Callithrix jacchus: one gene and its partner. The protein of the gene in region 1 interacts with the protein of each later gene in a biochemical or structural test. Links are inferred from orthologs where the notes say so. Each region holds a gene or a part of one and is shown in the gene's direction. Other genes may lie near its edges. The genes, in order: NGF and NGFR.

Region 1 (3,805 bases):
CGAGAGGAGAATAGAAACCTTCCATTGTTTCTAGAAACTACAGCCTAAAATTGATTTTTTTAAATCGTGTCGGCTCCATAGCGTCCAGTCCTGAAATCTGAATTTCAACACGGTGCTCTGAGGTTCTTCTCTGATTCTGTGACGCCTCCATACTCTCTCTCAAGTGGTCAGGCTGTCTCATTTGTCACCATTACTCATCCACATTTTTATCAAAGCACCAACTTGCTCTGAACCGTCAGGGCCTTTGCTTCTGTATAATGTATCCTAGGCTGGTTCAGCTTTGGATCTACTACAGCTGCATGTGTGATGTACTGAACAATTTCCACTTGGATGCTGGATCACGATCTGCTGGGGCAGGACTTTGGCGTGGGTCTAGAAACACCTGCGCTAGGTGCAAGATCAGCCATGGACTGTGTCCAGGCTGAACCCAAAAGGTATGGTGCAAGAGTGAGAGGCATGTGCCGCCACAGGACCATGAGAGGCCAGGACCAGGTAAATTTTGGTGGCCAAACTCTAGCTCCTTCCTGGGCCCTGATGCTGGTAAAATCCCAGAAATCAGGGAAATGGAATTTGTCCTATTGGCACATCCCTCCCCGCTGTGTAGGGAACAGGGAAGGTGGTGAGGTACCAGTCTAATGTCGGCTCTCCCCCTCCACAGAGTTTTGGCCAGTGGTCGTGCAGTCCAAGGGGCTAGATGGCATGCTGGACCCAAGCTCAGCTCAGGGTCTGGACCCAATAACAGTTTTACCAAGGGAGCAGCTTTCTATCCTGGTCACACTGAGGTAAGTGCCTAAGGGGCCTCTGCCTTGCCAAGGTCCTACCTCTGCAGCTGCCAGAAGCAGGGGACCCAAGTGATAGAACCTGAGAGGGCAAGACATACCCAACTGCTGAGCAGCAGGGGCCTGGAGATGCTGTCAGTGATACAGCAAATACAGCCCGCCTAGCCCACTCAGGAGAGGAATCTTTTATATCCTCAATTTGGCCCCACGACCTCCCGGGACATAGCAGGAGTCTAAGCTACATCAAAGGTCTAAAGTCACAGAACACAAGGCATTGAATAGACAGCATCAGTCAAACCCTCCACACAACTCTCTAGTTTGACTGAGCCGGGAACTTGTGAAATGGAAGGTTCGCAGCTGTTCTTTTTGCCCTGGGCCAGTGGAGTGGAGCGTTCAGATCCGCACACGGGAGGGCTGGCTATGAGTTCTATTTCTGCTTGGTGTGTGCCTGTAATGCAATTACTTAATCTTGCAACTCTGGTTTCTCATCGGTAAAATAGGAATAATATGGCCAGCCTCCCAGGCTTGCATAATGGTTAAATAGAAAATTATGCCCAGTAAATAATAATCATTATTTTCTCAGCTCATTCATGTTAAGGTATGTCTCTAAGAATTCAGATCAGTAGATCTGGTTCCCATTCATGCAGCCGGCACACCAGCCCTGCAAGAGTCCAGTGGCTCCCCAAGGTTCATTTTGTCTTCTACAAAGTTGAAGAATTAGGCTAGACTCATGGCTCTCAAAATGTGGTCCCCAGACCAACAGCATCAGCATCACCTGGAAACTTATTAGCAATGGAGATTCTTAATGTCCTCCTACCAGACCTGCAGAACCAGACGTTCTGGGGGTGGAGCCAAGAAGTCTATAGTATAACAAATTCTCCAGGTGATTCTGATGCCCTGAAGTTTGAGAGCCTTTGAACTTGAATCTCTGATGTACCTTCAAGGCCATGCCTCCTCCCAATAAATCCTGTCTGGGAGATACTAACAGAGGCTCTGGATTTTATTCTGTCAATGCCTCCCTCTGTTCAGCCCAGCCCAGGGCACCTCTTGCTGGGGAAATGAGGAGCCAGAGAATTCCTCTCACACTCCACACCAGCTCCAACCCCTAAGAGCATTCGAGCCTTTAAAACTGAAGACAGCAGCCAGTTAACATGTAGAGTGAAGGCCAAGCCACATACAACAAGAAATGACCCTTGACCCACTCTCAGAATGTGGCGAATGAGATGGAGGAGGAGGAGACTGGATTTCCTTGGCCACAAGAATTTCCTCTCTTGCCAAGTTAGTGACCCGGATTCATGTATCCAGCCTCTAGCTTGAGAATCACTTGCAGCTCTTCACATGGCTCTCTCTGAGGCAGGAATTCTCTCACTCCCTTCTACAACACACCTCCCCAGGCATGGCTGCCAAGCCTCCCAGTGCCATCAGGCCTCCTAGCCACAAATATTTGGGTCAGTTGCTTAGTTCTGTCCCGCAGCTTCATCGCCTATTCAGGTGAGGCAGAATCTTTGAAGATCATTCACCTAGTGCAAGAAGTTTCTTCTATTATCGGAGTACGTGAACTACTAGAAATCCGCAGAATGTACGGCTGGTTCAGGACAAGGCAAGAGGGCTGGGCAGCCCGTCAGTGGCTGGTTATAAAGGCATCCCAATGGGCCACCCTCTCTCAGTCATGGGTCTTCCGTTCTGGGTAGGAATCGCACAATTAAAGAGCATTCTCACATTAAATAGAACATGCTCCTTCACATGAGCCCCTAATCGCATCCTCCCTGCTGACCATTCAGCTTGCAGAGCTCTGCTTCATGAAGCCACACAGAAGGCTGTCATCTGTTCAGGAGAAAGGCTTCAACGGGTTTTTTAAAAAAATAAATAAATAAAACTTCTCCCCTGGTTCACATCAGCCAAAAACAGAGTTTTCTCTTCTAAACTGCATTATATCACTAGAACAGAAGATGCGCTCGATTCTTCTTTTATCTACTGATCATTTTTAATCGAGTTTTTTTAACTTAAAAGTTTATAGGAACACGCTCTCATGAATAAACTAAAATTTTTTTAAAAAAAACTTTAAACCTAAAATCCAAATGAGGGATATACTTGAGACATTTTCAAGTCTTAATGAAATAATCTGCTTGTGATACAAATCTCCATTGTGATTAAATGTGACCAGGCACCATTTGGCATCTTGACTGTGAGGTGAGAAGTAGTGTTCAGTTAAGAACTGAACTTTTGTGAAGTCAGTTCAGTCAAACCAGTAGATGCAAGGCAGAGTAGAGAACTTCGTAATGGCTTAAAATCAAAGCATATCATAGTGGGAAGATCCCTTCAACATTAGCACTTAATGGAGAATTAGGAAACACTGGAGGCAGGAGACTTGTCTATATGCTCACGGGTTCTTGGAGGTGGACTTACCTGGGAGTCAACAAAGATGAGTAGGAAACTTTGCTGCCTACAGGGCATTTGTCCTCTAGAAGGGAGGATAAGAGAGTGCAACTGCCCTAAGAGAACATAAAGGGAAGGCTTTAAGAGATAGAGAAGGGAGTTTGTCTCAGAATAAGAAAAAGCTCCCCGGTGGAGGTGGCATTGAAGTTGTTGAAGGACAGCAGGAAGGATTCCACCAGCAGAGATGGAGAGCCAAAAAGGCCCCGGGAGAGCAAGAGAACGTACCTGGAGGGGAAGAGTCTGAAACAGGGCAGTGGTGGGGAAGCCCAAGCGATGGACTGCCCCCAGGAGTTTTGTATGCCCGGAATGCAAAGTATGTGAGGGGAGTAGAAGGAGGCAGGATCCCAATGCCAGGCGGAGAAGTCCCTACTGGCTTATAGACAAGGGGCTTGGCACCAGCTCCTCTGAGCAGGGTGATATGATCAGAGCAGACTCTAAGAAGTTACCTGGGGTGGCCAGGGATAAGAGGTATTGGAAGAAGAGAGATGGGGGTCCAGGACATCAGGTGGGAGACTGTTCCCATTACCTGAACTAGGGGCCCACAGGTGAGAATGGAAGGGAAAGCACAGTTTCAAGAGAATGCTACCAAA
Region 2 (4,398 bases), on another chromosome or scaffold:
AATTTTCATATTTTTAGTGGAGATGAGGTTTCACCATGTTGGCCAGGCTGGACTTGAACTCTTGAACCTCAGCTGATCCACTCACCTTGGCCTCCCAAAGTGCTGAGATTACAGGCGTGAGCCACCATACACGGCCCATAGGTGCTCTTGATCTCCCTTTTGTTTCCATAATTGGGAGGGTAGTGAAATTTTTTTTTCAAGGAGGAAACTGAAATCTGAACATGGCCAAAATTTGAGTGCTGGATGGGCTTTGCAGAAATCTCCAAACACCAACTCTGTGCTCCAGGGTCTTGATGAATGGGAATACAGAAATAGAGGGAACAAGCAAGGGGTAAGCGTGGGGGTGGGTGGCATACTTTTTGGGTTGGGAAGCATGTTATTTAGACTTTCCAAGGTTTCTAGGGCAAGACGAGTTTGGTCCTAGTATATGGGTGGGCACACAGATATGAGTCCACTTCACTTTTCTATTTATTCCCTTCTACGGAACTTCCTTGACTCCTACTGTACACCAGGAATTCGGAGAAGAAACCATAATCCCTGCCTGTGGAGCTTATAAGCCCATGGAGCCACTCACAGTCTAGTGGCGTCTATATTGTTGAAGATGCAGCTGTTTGTTTATGAGTGTCAGTGTGTGTGTGCGCTCATGAATGTGTGTGCGCTTGTGTGACTGTATACATGTGAGGGCTTTTGCAGACATGACTACCTACATACATGCATGTGTGAATGTGTAGGTAAGCACTTTGCATGTCTGAATAACATATGTGCGTGTGCATGCCTGCAGAGATGCATGTGTAAGACAGGTCGGCACAAGTGCATGGAGGACAGTGTGGGCACACGTAAGTGCACAAGCACACCTACAGGTGAGCCTGAGAATGTGTATTCCTGTGCGCTGTGTGCACACCTGTGACCCCTTCGAACCCCTCATTTGAGAATCAAATGTGGAAATGGACTCCACCTTGAATGTCCATGGCCGAAGTCAGGCCACTTGCGCCCTTCCCCTCCCCCTAGGACTCTGCCCAGGGACTTTCTTCACTGGAAAGTAGAAAGGTGGGCACAGGGGTGGAGATGAGGTGATGGACAGAGATGAAGGGCAGGGAGGGCAAGCGGGCATTCTTACTGATAGTGGCCAGGTAGGGAGCGAGGCTCCAGGGAGAAGGTGAAGCCAGAGGCGGGGGAAGATGGGTAAGAGAATGAACCCTGCGGCGGGCCGCAGCCGGAGAGAACGGGAACCGCAGTGGGGACGCCCTGGGCCCTGGGCCCCACAGCATCCGGGACCGACGCGCAGTAGCGCGGGCCGGGAACTGGGTACCAGGGCGGGATGGGTGAGAGGTTCTAAGGAACAAGGCGAGGAGAAGTGGCAGCGGGGTGCGGGGAACCGCACGCCCTCCCTTTGCCTCCGCTCCCCACCCTAAGGCGGCGGGGCGGGCGGGCGCGGTTCCGGGGGTGGGCGGGATGGGCGGGGCGGAGGCGGGGCCGCCGCACTGGCTTCACCCAGCCCCTCCCGCCCGCGGCCAGAGTGAGCCAAGACGCGGCCAGCTCCGGCGGGCGCGGGGTGCGCTGGAGCACGGCGCAGCGCAGCCCCATCCGTCCGCAGAGCGGACCGAGCTGGAAGCCTTGCGCTGCCGCGGGAGGCGAGCAATGGGGGCAGGTGCCACCGGCCGCGCCATGGACGGGCCGCGCCTGCTGCTGTTGCTGCTTCTGGGGGTGAGTGTTAGCCCGAGGGGGCCCGCTCCCTTTCCCGGGATGAGAACTCCGAGGAGAGCCGGGCGCCGCCACCCAGGAAACAGAACAGAGCGTTGGGGTCCCAGATGCTGAGGGTGGGTGGTGGGAGAGGCGCTCTGATGCTGGGACCACGAAGGAGGGTCTAGGGTTCTCGGAGCGCAGAGGCGACCCTGAGTCTAGGGTGGAGATGCGGACACGACCGGGGCACGGATGCCGGTCCTCAGGTACCGTAGGGGGCGGTGAGGGAGCTGGGAGGGGTCTTTCGAGAGGTGGCATGGGGCTCTCTGATGCCCGGGTTCTTCGGAAGAGGACACTCCAATGCCGGGATCCCGGAGGGACTCTCCCCTCAGCATCTCTGTCTCTGGAGAGTCGCGGGACGGAACCCAGGCGAGAAAAGGACGGGGAACGGGAAGCGGACTAGAGATGTGAGGGGCGAGCTGGGCTGGTGGGGGGTAGCCCGGGACCAGGGGATGGAACAATGGAGGAGGTCGGAGGGATTGGAGGCAGAGGGGACCCGGCAAGGACAATGGGGACCGGCCAGACAATGGGGGGGAGGGGCGTCGGAGGGAGAGGTTGGGGACCAGAAGTGGATTAGGGAGGGCAGAAGAGGGGCAACAGCCAGGGCTGCAGAGAGATGGAAGCAAAAGGAAAGCGGACGGAGCGGGGCGCGCACCCTAAAGTGATCGGGGCCCACTGAGGGACAGTGAGACGAGAAGTGAGAGCGGAGTCTTGGACATTTCCCGCGCCTGTCCCCGCGCTCCTGCTCATGGCCTCTCCCAGTCCCGGAATTGTGGCTGCGATCTAAGGCTGGGAGGGGAGCACCCACTTCGCCAGGTCGAACCCGCTCCCCAAGTTCCCCCATGGCCGGCGGGCTCCTCCGACGCGCGTGTTCTCATTGCTTGAAGCAGCGCGGCGGATCGCGAGGAATGGAGCGGGTGTGTCCGGACCCCGGCTGGCGGCGCCTACGTCTCAGGGTGCAGAGCGCCCGGGCGCACTAGGCGGGGACCCGTCCCGCGCAGGCGGGAGGCAGCCGGCAGGGGGCGCTGCGGGGCGAGGCAAGTGCCGTCTGCTGCTGCCTGCGAGTCTGGGGCTGCGCTCCGCCCCCTACCGAGATGCGCGACCCGAGCGCCGCGCCCACCGCGCTCCGTGGGCTCCCGCGCCTCGAAGGGTCAGGATCGTGTCTGCGCCTCGCCTGGCTCTCGGTGCAAGCCACTGGGTACCTAACGAGACCGGGGCGCCCGGACGTCTCGGATTCTGCCGCGCCGTGTCCTGAGTCACCAACTCGGCCAAGGTCGGCGACTCAGTCCTCCCGGCAGTCCGACGAGATTGTCAAGTGTGGCCTGCTGTGTGGCCATGAACCGAATGCCCGGGAAGGTCTGGCCATGGAGGAGGTGTCTTCACTCTCCTTGCCAGCATCTTTCATTTGAGCGCTGCGCTCCAAATCCCGGTTTTACAGATAGGGAGACTGAGGCTCTGAGAGTTTAAACGACTTGGCCAAGATCTCACAGCAAGTTGGGCCAGAGTTGTGGCTAGACTCCCCCAACCTGGTTCCCAGCTCCGCACTCCCCCACCTCTTCAGGGGGCAGCCGCTGTCCCAGGTCGGGGTCAAGGCTGCGTTTCCCAGCAGGGGCGGGCTTGACACCTTCCCCAGAGTCAGGTGGCAGTGGAGCCTGCGGGTAGGGTGGGCAGAGACCCTGTCCGGGCGCGGGCCCCACCCTAAAAGCTCAGCCCCGGTTCTTTGGAGCTGTCGGGACCTGTGGCCGTGTCCGGGGATTTGGGAGTGACCGCGGGCACGTCTGCTGACTAACGCTGCCGGTTAGAGACACCGCTCCGTTGCGGGTGGGACATCGTGGACCAGGGGGGCGGGGAGGAGGGACGACGACGTGGGCTCCCGGTCTGAGCAGGAGCGAGGGTCCCCGCGCCGAGACTCAAGGAAGGAGGGGAGCTGGGCGCGGAGAGCCTGGGCGCTGGTGAAGGTGGACCCGGACCGGAACCTGCCGTCTGCAGCCCCTGCGGCTCCCGCCTCCGCCTCTGCGCGCGGCTGCTGCGTCTGGGCGAGCTGTGCGCGTTCCGAGTTTCTTCCTGGGCCGCGGCGAGAGAGCGCTGAAACCAGAGCGCGTCCCGGCGGGTCGGCTGGCGGGCCGCGCCGGTAATGGAGGCACTTTGTCATTCAGACGTCTGTAACCAGAGCCGCCGGGCTGGCTAATGCGCCCAATACGGATGGAGCGAGGGCAGCAAATGGGCGTGCGTGAGCTGCCGGGCTGGGGTGGATGGTGGATGGGGAGGTAGCTCCGGGGTGATGGGCCCCCACCCCGCTGTACCAGCCCAGTCTGGCTCAAGCGCCTCGCTTCCTCCCTGGGGGCCCGGGTGGGGAGGTGGGAATAATCGAATGAGCTGAGTCCCTACTACGTGCTCGCACTGCCCTGGTACTTTCTCTTGAGTTATTTAATACTTAAAAAGTCCTAGCAAGGTGAAGTTAGTTATTGCCACCTCATAGTTGAGGAAACAGAACATTCCAGACTTTCAGGCCCGAGACCAGGCTCCCTCAGTGAGTGACTCGGTGGTGGCACCTTTGTTGAAAGCCGGGATGCTTGGCCTGGGATGTTCTCTTTCCTCCATATGCCAGGCTGCCTCCCTCCCCTACCTTCCAGATCGTGGAAGGCGTCAAGGTGCTAA

Evidence for each region.
Region 2: the proteins of NGF (region 1) and NGFR form a complex in vitro, tested with the Homo sapiens proteins (2 studies listed by BioGRID and IntAct, with this or other methods). The link is inferred for Callithrix jacchus from reciprocal best matches to the Homo sapiens genes NGF and NGFR.

What each region holds. Positions count from the first base shown.
Region 1 is NC_133508.1:153,271,514-153,275,318, reverse strand, and holds part of NGF (beta-nerve growth factor), read left to right. Parts: intron 1-658; coding exon 659-782; intron 783-3,805. UniProt on the Homo sapiens protein: Nerve growth factor is important for the development and maintenance of the sympathetic and sensory nervous systems.
Region 2 is NC_133506.1:116,811,861-116,816,258, reverse strand, and holds the start of NGFR (tumor necrosis factor receptor superfamily member 16), read left to right. Parts: upstream 1-1,513; 5' UTR 1,514-1,638; coding exon 1,639-1,704; intron 1,705-4,398. UniProt on the Homo sapiens protein: Low affinity receptor which can bind to NGF, BDNF, NTF3, and NTF4. Forms a heterodimeric receptor with SORCS2 that binds the precursor forms of NGF, BDNF and NTF3 with high affinity, and has much lower affinity for mature NGF and BDNF.